2 linked regions of the Lytechinus pictus genome follow. The protein of the gene in region 2 purifies or fractionates together with the protein of the main gene of each other region. This does not show direct contact. Links are inferred from orthologs where the notes say so. Each region holds a gene or a part of one and is shown on either strand. Other genes may lie near its edges.

Region 1 (7,684 bases), on a different chromosome or scaffold from region 2:
TAATCATGTATTACGAAACAAAATTGAGATGGTGTATCCCGGCCGTCGCTTTACATTTATTATATTTCACTTTCTTTTGAAATAGATAAATATTTCGGGTGCAACTTTTCAGGTTTCATCAATATCTTACAAACACAGAAGGCAAATGGGATCTTGCAGCTCAGATTCAAAGTCAAGTCATAAAGTTAACAAATATCCCAAACATTCTAGTATTTTTTGTTCATCTTTTGGCCCCAGGATTTTGTCCCATAATAATAGGCCCTATAACCACGTTCAGCTTCCTTATATTCTGTTTTCATTATTTTTTTTCTGCTCATTACGTTAAGCCATCCTTGAACTCCATTAGATGCGGCTGGTATAATCATGTTTGTCCAAAAATGATAACAATGCACATTCGGTAGTGTCGTCACAAATCACCCTCGGTGGGCCCCTATGTGATTTTACTTCAATAACTGCAAACAATTCACATCAAATATACTGTTTCAAAAGCAACTACGTGAGTGATTTAGACTACACATAATAACATGACGATCGAAAAATGATCTGGGGTATGAAAGGGAACTACAATAGCAAATAAGTTGGAAAAATTCATTCTGAAGGTACATGTTTATTGTGTCTCACAATGATTCAATGATGTGTGACTTGGCCTCAAGTGGCTTGACGCTTGATAAATAATGCTCCAAATAGTGATTATTTATTTTTTATATGCGAGGTCAGAACAAAGTAGAGAAGCTGCTGCTGCAGTAGCAACAGGCATAGTTATGCATACCTTTCCCGTCTGTGACATTCTGAGTGGATGACTGCGAAAGGTTGAATAAGTAAAGTTAAGATATAATTTGATGAATATTCTGAATGTTTAGAAATGTATTTTCAACCCCAACCCATTTTGTATAAGTAAATGTTTATTATTTCAAGCTAAATCTTGTACTTCAACGTAGTGTTTGACTGTACACTTCAAAGCCGATACAAATAAATTCCATGTAGTAGCCGAGAATACATTTTACTTCCAAAATTTTGATCGATGCACGGCACATTTTATATGAATGTTTTCTTAACATTATCACAAGCAGAACTGTCATATAGTAACTATATTTTATCCACATTTTTTAAAGCGTAAACTAGTAAAAAATAATGACGTAACTAAGGTTTGGGCAATCGTTGGACAGTGTGTTTTTGTATGCGTTTTGTACATGTATTATATGCAGCCTTTACCCCCTCCCAAATAAAAATGCAAAGTAATTAAAGCAAAGAAATAACACTGATTTAGAGACATTCTTGTTCGACATCACATTTTGTAAGCATTCAATGCATATAGGGTCTAATAAATGTATCTCCAATGACAAAAGTAAGGTTCATTTAATTTCATTTGAACCTACCTGGCAGTCCAGTGAATCTATTATCTGTACTGTGTTGTATATTGGACTAATAACGCCGTACATTTCATTGCATGAATAATGATAATGATAATAACTATAACATTTTATTACATTTGCATTATACTTGCATGAAAACGTTTTATATTTTCACCATGTTAAAAAAACATTTTCGTATTAATAGTATCACGATTCGAATATAATTTGATTTTTGCTGACTTTTTGAAATTTAGATATTTAATGAATAAATCAATATTAAGCAACAGGAATTGAGGTCGAATGTAACAGAAACAATACAATTATGATCAATGATGATAAAGATAATGATAATCGAACACTGAAAGGAAAATATTATAAATATATAAGCCCATGATTTAATAAGTTGGCAAACAGCCACAATGAACCGCAGACTTTGAGAGGGTCCGAGAAGTGGCGCACGGGGAAAAGTTCAAGAAAGCTGCGAGTGAGCGAGCAATAGTTTTGACATTTTTAACATAAAATTCCTTTTCTCATTTTTTTCTTGGTGGTATTATTATTATTATCTTTATTTATTTATTTATTTATTTATTATTATTATTATTTTTTTTTTTTTGGGGGGGGGGGGGGTTCTAGCCCCAAAGCCCCCCACCTCTGTGCGCCATGTGCATCAAGTAATAATTGATATGAAATATACACAAGGTCAAGGACAATGCGCTCGATGGACCATGTTATCATAGCATGCACATTTTGTACAGTCAAATGAGAGTTCATTATGTTTATTCGTATTCCTATGATATCACAGTCAAAAAGTGTATTCATGCAAATTATAAAACACATATAGGCCTACATCATCACAACACAGTCGTATTAATTCTCACACACTCACAGACACCATGGATCCTACTAGATCCATGGTGACACATAAAAGAAAATACTTGCATTTTCTTATTCAGTATAGAAATGAAACACAGTAAAATGAAATTGGACATATTTTGAACAAAATGTATAAACATAATATCTTAATATTTCAAGGAGTAAGAAATGCATGAAACAAGCACAGTATGTTTCTGATTCTCATTATGGTAACTCCGAAGGAACTCGACAGGACAGCTTTTTGCTGGTATAATGCCAGCTGAGCTGGTACATAACCAATATTAATTACCAGTGAATATAAATGTTATTACATTAAAAACATTTATAATCACTTGACTTTCGTAAAATGTTGTCTGATATGCGTTCTGAAATCCGGTTGCTTACCTTAATAATGTTTTAAAACGGCTTTGGTGAGTTGTAATAATGACTTCCTCTTCTTTTTTCTTCTTATTTATGAGGTGTTGTAAACATTTTGATGGGGGTAAAGCGATTAAATGTGTGTTTATATGATGAGGGAAACAATGATGTATGTTATAGGCCGTTTATGATGCTTTCCGGTATAAGATAAAAATGAAAACTTTGATTATCGTTTAACAGCTAGAGTAACGAGTAAATAGAGTAAATTTTGATACATATGGTGGTGTTTTTTTTTTGTAAAAGGCATTTAGGGTCATACAGTTTCCCCTGAATCTTTGACATTAATTATTGAAATCATTTAAAAATGAAAAAAATAATGATCTCCCCACAAAATAAACAAACAAACAAACACAAAACAAAAAATAAACACAAACTACAAACAAAAGGAAACAAAAACACAAAATAGAGGCAACGTTCAGCTTACTTTATCACCTGTTTAGTTCTCGATTTTTTAAGAGAGAACCATAACAATCCGTCGAGTTGATTATGTTTGTAACCAAACAATAATTTAGCGACATTTTCTATGTTATTGACGCGCTACCATGGGCCAAAGGCATGGTCGATCACGCGAAACACGCGTGATACATCATAATAAACATTGATTGGGAAGAGTTGTTTGGGACATCTTTTTGAGGCTATAAGGCAAGACTGAACATCATGGTTCAGTTCGCAATGAAGAGCATAATACCCCCACAATCATAGTCCCTCAAAAGAAAGGCAATAGACAAAAACGATCCCCAACGATCCTCTTGAACATAGATACCCACAAGCATGCATATCATGACAAGGGCGATTCCGATCCCACGTTATCGCTTGCACTGCAGGTGACTATGATAAGATAAGATGATAATAATACTTAATTTTTACATAGCTCAAATTAAGAAGAAGAAAAAGACAAATAAGAAAAGGAAAGAAAGAAGAACAAAAAGACAGAAAGAACAAAAAGGAAAAGAAGAAAAGGAAAGAAAGAAGAAGAAGAAGAAGAAGAAGAAGAAAAAGAAGAAAAAGACAGAAAGAACAAAAAGGAAAAGAAGAAAAGGAAAGAAAGAAGAAAAGAAGAAAGAGAAAGAAAAAAGAAGGAAGAAGAAGAATAAGAAGAAAAAGAAAAAGAAGAAGAAAGGAAGAATGAGAAGAAGAAGAACGAAAGAAAGAAGAAGAAGAAAAAGAAAAAGGAGAAGAAGAAGAAAAAGAAGGAGAAGAAAAAAAAGAAAAAGAAGAAAAGGAAAGAAAGAGGAAGAAAAAGAAGAAGAAAAAGAAGAACAAGAAGAAAGGGGAATAAGAAGATGATGAAGAAGAAGAAGAAAAGGAAGAAGGAGACGAGAAAGAAAGAAAGAAGGAAGGAAAGAAAGAAAGAAAAGAAAGAAAGAAGAAGAAGACGAAGAAGACAGAAAGAAAGATGGACAGATAGATAGATAGATGATAGAAAGATAGATAGAAAAAGGGTCTTTTAATTCGTGGCATGCAACTTTAGATGAATATTTTTGTCGAGGGGACTGTCAAATCCGGTACAAGGTCCGGAACAAGGTCCGGAATGTATATGAAAAGAAAAGGCGGATGACGTCATGAAGTTAATCTTTATTAATTGGATTTTTGTTTGCTTTATCCTTTTTACTTATATGTCTTTTGCACATTATCAGTTGTTTCTCTTTCCCCCCACTCTTATGCACCAGTTTATTATGCCTTTCTTTGTAACCTGTTTGACCCACCTCTCACTAATTCTCTTGTTATTCATCTCTTCCTCCACCCCCATCACTGTTTTGTTCCAGATCCTGTTTGATGTTGCCTGCCCAATTGTCTTGATCCCTCACAGCTTTATTAGGGTCTTTTACTGGCCTTACTTACACTGACTTCCCTTTGTGTCTGCCTACTCCGATCCTTTGCTTTCATCCCCTTCTCTAACCTGATTGGTCGTCACAACTCTCTAGTGCCCTTTTTATAGACCTACATTGAAATAATGTATTTTCAGCACCTAAATCTTCTTTTGTTGGGTCAGAGACTAGAATAAAAAGAAGATAATCCTGAAATCGATCAAACCTCAAGATATTTTAACATCAGAATGGATGAATAAAGGTCGAGAGTGAAGAAGAGAAGCTGCACACCACGTGAAAAAAACTCTAACCAAAAAATGGGGGAAACCCCAACTCCGAAACACAAGCAAGTGTGCTGAACTAGTCTGGCAGCACAAACTTTTTTTAAATATTTAAACCCCTCGCTTCCTAAACATCCACTTTTGCCCCTCCCCCAAAAAAAAAAAAAAAAAAAAAAAAAAAACACACACAGCGAGGGTGATGATGCCGGAGTCGCTTTCCTCTGCCCGGTAAATAGTGGGAGACAGGTTTAAATCAAAAAGTAAAACCGTTCCTATACCATCTAAATTTTGAGAAGTCTGTAGACCATAGGCGGATCCAGGGGGACCCGAGGGGCCCGGGCCCCCCCACCTTTTGGCGGAGCAAAAAAAGAAGAAAAAAAAAGGGGAAAGAAAGAAAAAAAGAAAAAGAAGAGGAGAGAGGAGAGAGGAGAAAAAGAAGGGGAAACATAAGAAGAAGAAGACGAGTGAATAAATTAAGATGAGGGGAAGACTTGGAAAATAATTAAGAAAATAATTCATGTCATTAAAAACAAAATGTTCGCCCGCGCTTCGCGCTCGCATTGCCTTTTAGCTCATTTACATATCTTGTTCATTATGGAGTTTAAATATCAAGTTTGGAAGTCAATATATAAAACATATTTCATCTCGGAAATCGAACTTTCATTATTTTGTGTAATTTATTTTGATTTTTTTAAAGTGCTCTGAAAAAATGTCAGTTTTATGCTCTGAATATTAGCATTTTCTGCGCGCTCGCAAATTTATCAGGTACCTATTATTTTCGTGTATTTCATAAAGTTTACAAAATATCCCTTTTCAGGTCTGATTGTTAAAACGTATCAGCTAGCGCTGCACGCTCGCATTTTGATTGGCGAGTTATGTATGTCTCAATATTGATTATACAACAAACTACTTAAAATCCCCTTTTCATGACAGTGTATAAAAAATTTAGGCTCGCCATTTGCGCTCGCATTAATGGTTAATAACATATTAACTGATTGAAATGTCCAGTTTTCAGGCCATCATATCATCAGATTTCGCCCCCTCATTAGGCATTAATGAATAAGATATTAATTTAATAATTGAATTGTCCCTTTTGTTTCATCTCGAGCTTAGCAAGAGGAATAAGAAGACAGTCTTCATTTTCATATGATGAAATGTCCTAAGGACATTATTATTTCCAGTTTCAGATCACAATATCATAAATTTTCTGCTCGCGTTTTGTGCTCTCATTATTAATGTAGAAAGATCCCCTATTACCCATTCTTTTCATTATTTACAAAACATGAATAGAGTGTCCCGTTTTTTAGGTCTAAATCTCTAGTTTTTCCGCTCGCGCTTAATTCGCACTCGCATTAATTGTTTAGTTATATACCTATTATGTTCAAGTTACAAAAAGTGCTTAGAATTTCCATTCTTCGGGTAAAAATTTCAACAAATTTCAGCTTGCGCTTTGCGCTCGAATTATTTGATTTTTAAAATAGGTAACGACTTCATGGCTAACTGCATGCAGTCTTTAACAGGTACCTTTTCCATCAGTTCACTTCTGCTCGCGCTTCGTGTTCGTAGTAATTATTTAGTTGCATACACATCTTTTTCAGGATAACAAACATTGCCCAGAATGTTCAAATTTTAGGGGAAAAATACACAAGATTTCCAGAAAAAAATTAGCTCGCGCTTCGCGCTCGCATTATATAAATAAGGATCATGTATTTATGTTGAGTAATAAGAATAAAGCTAAAAAGTGACTATTAGGGCTACCCCTTCAAAGAAACCAAAAATCGAGCGGCCGATCGGGGAAAATATGGCTGAAAAAAAATCCGGGCCCCCCCCCCTATTGGCGAAGGCTGCATGATCCGCCCCTGTAGACTATTATCAAAGTTTCCATTCACGGAACTAAAATACCACCACGTGGTCCCAATCGATGCACGTGACCTTGTGTTCACGCTTGGATCCTGGAGCGAGCAGCTTTTTATTGCGTGCGCATTCTGCGGGAGAATGGACACCCATTCACTGGCGTTCGGAGTCTTCCACCAGAACTGAACGAGGCGCCAGAACTCTCACGTCCTATATGTGCGGTGTATCTGATTAAGGTTGATTCGATTACTTTCTCCAAGGCAGAAGGAACGTTTGTTTTACCACAGAATGCCGCCAATTAATGGAAGTGAACTTGCTTTGATGCAACTCCAAGATGACTTTGGCTATCTCAGGGAAAACATGGATCATTTTTTTCTTCTGGTGATGTCCTGTATCATATTCTGTGAGTATATAAAACTTTTGTGTCCGAGTGAGATAGTTTTAGACACAAAGGTTAATAGATAGATAGGTATACAAACATATATATATATATATATATATATATATATATATATATTTAGACTGAAAACTTTTATTTTTGCTTGTCAAAATTTTCCTTACCAATCCAATAAGCTTCTTTTTTGCCAGTCAGACATTTTTAAACAAGCCAGCATCCTGATCCTGGGCAGCACCCACTTTTTTTAATTTATATATATATATATATATATATATACAGTTGAATTTGTGATATATATGACAAGTTAATAAACGATTGAAACATAGCAAAGGTAAAAGTATGTTTGCATATACAGTATGCAGAGTTACGAAGTATAAAAACAAAGTTAGCGATTAATCGTACGCTTGATTTTCACGATTGATTGTGTTTTGTAGTCAATGGAATCAATCGTAGAAAAGTGTTCTACGATCATTGCTAAGCTTTTGGTTACGGGCCCCAGATTACACAGTATTCTTTCATATTAATACGTACATATTCATGATTTTCACTGAGGCTTGTATAATTTTCTATCAACTTGTTTTTATTATGTATATCATCTCATTGTATTATACTTTCATTTTATTTGTACCGAATTAGATAAATAACTTAACACAGAGAGATTATAAGTATACAAATGGCAATTAAAGAGTGGGTGCTGCCCAT
Region 2 (7,745 bases):
TTAATGTTGAATCCATAGCACAGGAATTATAAGGATAAATCAGTAGGACAAGCAGTCAGATCCTAGTCTGCAGGCACAGACCCTGATTGAAACTTTGATCTAACAAGTGGGTCTCCATGCAAAAAATTACAAAACTTGCTGTTTCCATTCTGAGTGAGAGGGCCTTTAGTACACAAGGCATTAATAGGCTGCACATTCAGACCCTTAACTCGAGTGAAGGGATTGCACAGCAGACTAGTCAGATCCAAGGAAAATTTTGGTTTTTAAATGAGGTTTGTAAACACTAATGAGACAAACACAGTGATACATGTAAATGCAGGTGTTCAGTACACTGTTGTTAACCAATCTATCAGGATTTACATGAAGTGGGGATGTTACAATAAGGAGTTACACGACCCAGGCCTCTCTTCATTATACCCTACTTGCTTCCTTTTTCCCCTTTGCTTTTTTAAGTCTCATCTCTTTTTCTTTTCTTTTTTCCACTACTTGAAAAATCATAGGGAGGTCAGATAATTTCTTACTTTAAGAATAGTTATCCTTGCTCCTTCGTCTAGATCAGGACTCATTCCAAGGAAGTTGTTGATACTCTCCTCATCAGTTGGCATGGTAACGGTATGCAGGAGGTTCACAGTGTTGTTACACAAGGTTGTCATCTCCATCTGATATGCATGTTTTGATCATGAGATAGAAACATATAAGAGGAAAAATTATATTATCAATTATTTATTATCGTAACAAGTACATGCATTGATTCTTTAAATGATCATCATATACAGAAACCCTTTAAACAAATTAATATGTGCCCTTTTATCCTTTTTAGTACATTTTTTTTCAGATCAATCATGTTTTCTTTTGAATCAAACACCTGTTTAAAACAGTGTGATTTAAACAAGAAAAGACTAATACATGACTAATAATAATACTAGTACATGTGTGTACTGAATAAGACATTACATGACCAATTCTGGCAAGACAAGCCATAATTCATCATTCTAATAGGCATCTAAAATTCCCTAAAATCAATATTTCAGAGTTAAGAAAGGGACTACTCCCCATTTTCTTGGTAGTTCCCAACTAAATCAAATTGTTCAGATGTGAAATGTGAAATTTCAGCAAGTTCAAGGGAAGGTTTGTTTGTTTGGTTTTTTTTTTTGCTTGTTCCCTATTTCTGCCAGTTCAACGCAACTATCCCCCCCCCCCCCTAAAAAACATGAAAATAAATTACTTGACAAAATGATAGGACAATTTGCTCAATGGAGGAATAAACGATAGACGAAATGCTAATTTACGACGATGCTAGGTAATATGGACAAATGATGTTAGACGATATGTAAAAGTTATTGAGAAGCAGATTTAGCACAAGAAAGGATCATGGGTCATGCATGAAATTGTGCAAAACATATGAATAGCCTTGTGAAATACCACACTTCACTGAGAAAGGGAAAGAACATTGTACACACCTGGTTTAATTTTTCTTTTGACTGCTTTGATATATGATGCTGAATGTGCTGTAATACATGGTACCTGACGTCATCAAACTCCATGTACTCCCTAAATCGACCAATCAACTCACTGGAAACTACACTCTTGGAAAGAAGCTGAGGTACCAATAGCTGTTAAAGACAACATTTCTTTTAAATATGATATCTGAATTCTCGTTAATACTATAAATCAGAGATTAAAATTTAAGACAAATAGTTAAAGTGCATACAAAATTAAATCAAGCAAAGTCAGAAATGTATCATTGGAGAAAGATTTGTTTATGTGTAATTATTCGATGTTAAAGAAAACCAATACAATAGCAATGACTCTGCACAGGTAAATAACCCACTAAATACTTGATTCACCAACGCACTTGCTGATAATTCATAAATAATTCCATGTGTGAACATCACATTGTTATAATCATATGAAAGAATGTTTTATTACAAATCATTTCATATCATGTTTGTGTGGAATCACTTCACGCTTGAAGGGATATAAAACATTATTTATGCTAAGAGAGCAAAATTTGACTTGCACCAACTAATCCTAGCTAAAAGCTGTCATTTCATTCGGAAATAAAAGAGGTACATTAATTACTCACTTAAATGAAGACATTATTCATTGTAATCTGTATGTGACAACATCATTACTGTAGAAGCCAATTTGATTATGAAAAGGCAGCTAAATTTGGCACAACTCAAAGTTTGCATTGTCTAGTATGTCTCCCCAATGTATTTGTTCAAGAATCAACACATTATACTAACGATTAAGGGGTAAAACATTTGTTCAAATGATGTGGGCCTACATGTATACTTCTTTGCAAGCAATTTTCCGATTAACTTTATTACACGCTCTGTACGTATATTTGAAATATCAAATATACTTATTATATGATTCAGCTTAGATGTTAATGATGTAATATAAAATCAGAAATGAACTCACTGCGATAATGTGAATGGGAAAGAAGAAGTTTGAGCCTTCCTTCTTAAAAGGATGTTTCGATTCTTCTGCTAAAAACTTCATCAGCGTCCTCATAGCAAGTTCCTTGAATACAGAAATAAAAAAACAAATCCCTGAGAAACCTTAACAATTATTAAATTATGACAATATGATTAAAACATCAACTACGCAAGCTACACAGCTAGAGTGGATAAATAATAAAGAGGGAAAGTGATGTTCAATTTCATAAAACCTAATTAAACTTTTCTGTTGTATTACTTTGTAAAAACAACAAATATGTTATGAGTTTGGATAAGCATGCCTGGATAAAAAAGACACACCTACCTGCAAGACGGGTACTGTCACAAAGGTCCCGACCACGTTGCAGAGACACCTGATGGCATTGTTGTACCTGGCCTGTAACCAAAGCCGATACTTCTCCTTGGCACCTGATATAGCAGAGGTACAGACCATTCCATCTTCAGCCAAAACATGACAGAAGATCTTCGATGTAGCCTGGATGGCAGCACTGACAATGTCCTTTTCATCATGCTAAAGAATTGAACATGGAAGAAAGAAAGGCATTTCATCATCAGCACAAATGCACACAAAAATTTGCTACATGTACGTAAGTACCACATGGCGGCACAGACAGGCAAATTTACAAGAATTTTGAAAGTAAAATGAGATCATTGTGGTCCTTTTGTCTACATTTGGGGATGGAAATATTTAAGTAAGTTAGTTCACTTGATCCCTCATGTAATATGTATGTTTTGAGTGTACAGCTTACAGATCAAAGTTTATTATTCTCCAGAATTGAGGAATATAATCTCCCAAAACATATGTCAATATTCTGATTCATTTCTAGATTTATATGAATGTTAGAGGAGTAGTGGAGTACTATTACCCTTGGTACCTTCCCACAAAATGGCAACTAACCCGTTGATATCCATCTACCCCTCATTTCCCTCCTCTTCAAAACCAGTTTTAGACAGTTTGCTAGTGATAATAAATGAATATTTACAATGAATATGAAACTCCAAAATCAAAAGGATCAAATTAGGAACCACTATAAAACTGTCTTATTAAGTCCTCGTGGAGTGAGTCCCATTCCTGTGTTAAGACCATCCAATATCCTAAACGTGTCATATATAGGAGGGGACTCAGATAACGAGGAGTACTCTTAAAGGTTGTGATCTAAAGTCTTCTTCTTCTAGTTCTATGGGAAACTGAATAGATGAAAGAGGACTCGCACCATGAGGAGTAAGACAGCTTTATAGAGATTTAGTGACAGTGTTTTTAGTGAAATTTTTATTTTATAGTTTATAATTTGTGCATTACCACATTGCACACGGTCACATACATTAAAAAGTAATTAAGAATATATATTAATCTTATTAATATCTGATTACACCAAAAGAAAAAGCAATCTAAAATTACTTGGTTTCAGTGATTTCCTTAGGATACAGTGACAGTCTACATGTATATCAACATTGCCATTGGCAAATGTTTTTGTTACTTTACGTCCGTTCCTAGACTGATACATCCACTGTTTCAGAGCAGTTTTTATAAAACTTTTTTTTTGGTCCTCCTCCTTCACAGATGGATGTCTGCCATAGGCTTCGTAATGGTGGAGGTTCGCACAATGCTCAACTACAGCGTCTATGGAGAAAAGGGTGCACCCTGCTTGATTACTGTGTACATGTTATTCCTCCTTTTAATGGCCATAAAGGAGCGCAATAATAAAGAGAAAATAATAGTGAAGAAAATCAGTTTACCATTTTCCAGCACGCATATTGCGATATGCGTGCTGTAGCCTTGGCAAGAGACATAGAAATCAAGATGGCGATGAAAACACGGTGGCAAGTTTTCCCTGTCTTTTCATAACATTTTTATCGTTTTTTTAATGAATTCTTGTTTAAAAATGACATCAATATCGTAGAAATGTTGGAAATGAAGTTGTATCCCATTTACATGATATAGGGCTAGATCTTCTAGAAGTAGAAATCTCGGGGGCGAAAGTTTCAGGGTTTTTTGCGGTACACGCACATGAATGGGATACAATCCCTGGCTCCATGGTCGAGTAAGCATACGTTAGAAAATGATTTTTACTCTCTAGGAGTAGGAGCCTCCTGGCTAGGGCTGCCTTGGCTTGACTCGAAGGGTTAGACATGTACATGTACTGATGTAGATTAGACCCACTCACACGTATTGCGTGGTTAGTATACTAGTATACTGCCTCGGGCGAAGTTCGTGCAGGCTCCACTCCACCTCACTACCGCTACACTACGCTACACCTACCCGAACTTCGGGACGGTGAACTCGATCGGATATTCCGAGTGACAAAGGTGGGATAAAAATCTGGTTTATTGTAAAAATTAAAGAAACGAGAAAGAAAAATAGCTTAATTTCTTACTCTTCACCCTTATTTCACTCCGTGTCCATCCTCCGGTTATCCTCAAAATTGGCGATTTTGGGCCAGTATCAAATTCCTCACACGTATTATTCACAGCCGATTTCAAAACATTGTATACGCGTATCGAGTGGACCTTCCTAATAGCAACACTGATGTGTGTTGCTGCCCTCTACGTTCGTTGCACATATTCATTTGAAGTACGAGGATATGTATTTCGTTTGTTAACGCCCACATGAGTTGCTATTATTATTATAATTGGAATATCGTTGGATAAATTGTTTAATTTTATGCTTTATAAAGAGTTATCTTTACAACGTCGTCAGCCTAATTACCGCGAGTGGTTGATTTATGAAATGAGTTGGAATGTGCGGAATTACGAGATGCCCCAAAGCCGATGGTACGTGATCAAGTTTAATTATAGTATTCACTTTCTGGGTTGAGCCAATCATTGTGCTTGAAAACGGGTTTCCCGGAATTCCCGCCCTGTGCCACGTGCCCTGTTAATCTGTTGTTTGAGTGCGAATCAGCTGATTTCGTGACCTCAAATATTCTTCATGTTGTTTATGCTGGGTGGGGGGCTATAAAATTAAGATCGTTCTCTTTTTTTTTTCTTTTATTATCTGTTCGTGAATTTCTGTAACTTTAAAACTGCACCTATGGTTATATTGTGTTGCAATATATTGAATCACGTACCTCTTCCCACTCATGGTGCAAGAAAAGATTTTTTAAATTTAAAATCGCCAAAATATACATGTAAAGAAAGATTATTCAGCCGTTATCATCAGTAGTGTAGATACGTCTATAATCGCATACATTCGTAATTCCGAAGCTTCGTTATTCCGAAGGTTTGGATATTCCAAAGGTTCGTATTTCCGAAGGTTCATATTTACGAAGGTTCGTAATTCCAAAGGATCGTTAGTCCGAAAACGAAATGAGGTTCGTAATTCCGAAGGTTCGTTAATCCGAAAACGAAGTGAGGTTCGTAATTCTGAAGGTTCGTTAATCCGAAAAAGAAATGAGGTTCGTAATTCCGAAGGTTCGTTAGTCCAAAAACTAAATGATTAACGAACCTTATTTCGTTTTCGGACTTACGAACCTTCGGAACAAGGAACCTTATTTTGTTTTCGGATTAACGAACCTTCGGAACAACGGACCTTATTTTGTTTTCGGATTAACGAACCTTCGGAACATCGAACCTTATTTCGTTTTCAGATTATCGAACCTTCGGAATAACGCCACAAATGTTCAGATTAACGAACCCTTTTACGTTTTCGGATAAACGAACATCGGGGTATAGGCAATTTACGTGTTTCGGAATTACGAACCTTCGGAATAAGGAACCTTCGGAATTATGAAGTGTAACCATCTAAAATTATAAATATGTATTCGTTTCGAATGGTGACTTCTTCACCAATCCCACATACACGATCTCAAAATCTCCTTTTCACTGTCCACGACCCCTCCCCTTTCGCTCTCTCCCTTGGACCATCCTACAACCCCCCTCTTCCTCTCTCTTTCACACACGCTGTATTTGTAGGCCTACATAGTGTATGATGTAAAAATAGAAGTCTGCTTTCCTGTCAATTAAGCTATACTTTCAAAACATATTTTAAATCGCAATTCATTTTATAATAAGAACAAATCGTAATATTAATAAAGTCATTATGAATGACTAAAAATATTTCTCACGCTCGTGGTGAGCACATTCATTATTTTATAGGTGAGTAAATAACAATACAAATGAACATAGCAATAACTGATAGTGAGAAACGAATCTTGATTGGATCTTTATAGGTTCCTTGTTTGTATGTGTGTGTGTGTGTGTGTGTGTCCCTGTGTGGGTGTGTGTATGGGTGTTTCTAGGTTTTGTATGTATGTAAGTATTTCTTAATCGATTACTTGTTAATTTAATTTGTTGACATTGTTTTCATAATGTATTTTATATATTTTATGTAAAGGGCCAATATTCACAAGCTTCGGCTTCATTTTGGTCCTAACCATCTTATGATATATGTTTTGTATTTGATTTTATACAACACTATTGTTTATTGGTTTTAATAAATGAACTTGAACGTATTATTAGTATAAACATCATCAACAGAAGTCTTATGAGAGTTATAGTTTCATTGAGTATCGTATCTGAAAAAAAACCAACAAAAAACATGCAAATTATATAAGTTGGGAACCCCGTCTCATGATACCGATGCCCATTATTTGGAAGCCTCAGAACTTCCGAGGCTTTGATAAAGTCAGAACAATATTTGGATTTTGATAAGGGCATGGCGCGGCGCAAGGGGCTACCCATGCAGCGCATGCAGTAGTCAGTCATTGACATAAGAAGCAACACGTATTCACAAAATAAATTGCACTTTCTAAGGATGTAGCGATCTAGACATTGGAAAGTATGGAGTAAAAGTAGCGATATCATCGATGTGAATAAATCTATAAACTGTAAGAATAAAATGAGATTGACTTTGAATCCTTTCCTTTAGTTTGTGTTTGACCTTTTTGACATTTACAATCGCAATTCGCGCAACCGTTACGGCTGTGTGGCCGGCCGGAGAAGCATTAAATAGACATAAAATGTGTTGCATTTAGCAGCAATCTAAGCTCGTCGATATTGATATTTTCGCTGCGCGGGAGGGGGGACACCCCCCTCCAGAACCCTCCCCAGCCCCCGCCGCTACGTGGCTTGCGTCGCTTCGCGCCGTCAGCATGGTCAGAATCAATGAACCTGGCGAGAACGTTGTTTGGAATATGGGTGTTTTGGCATTATCGTGGTTTATGTCACCAGTCCATTCATTGCCGTTTATTTCGTCAGCGGTGGTGACATCTTTCCTCTCCCATTGACTTTGTACACAACGATCGCGCACACACGACAAGAGAGGTGACAAATTTCACGATA

Evidence for each region.
Region 1: the proteins of nucleolar complex protein 4 homolog (region 2) and KRR1 small subunit processome component homolog purify together in Homo sapiens (co-immunoprecipitation; 3 studies listed by BioGRID and IntAct, with this or other methods). This does not show direct contact. The link is inferred for Lytechinus pictus from reciprocal best matches to the Homo sapiens genes NOC4L and KRR1.

Annotation. Positions count from the first base shown.
Region 1 is NC_087253.1:12,255,462-12,263,145, reverse strand, and holds the start of KRR1 small subunit processome component homolog, read right to left. Parts: upstream 3,088-7,684; 5' UTR 3,067-3,087; intron 1-3,066. Other genes in the region: putative ammonium transporter 1, read left to right, coding at 6,874-6,988. UniProt on the Homo sapiens protein: Part of the small subunit (SSU) processome, first precursor of the small eukaryotic ribosomal subunit.
Region 2 is NC_087246.1:28,806,895-28,814,639, forward strand, and holds the start of nucleolar complex protein 4 homolog, read right to left. Parts: upstream 3,003-7,745; 5' UTR 2,899-3,002; coding exon 2,770-2,898; intron 2,530-2,769; coding exon 2,428-2,529; intron 1,614-2,427; coding exon 1,461-1,613; intron 660-1,460; coding exon 522-659; intron 1-521.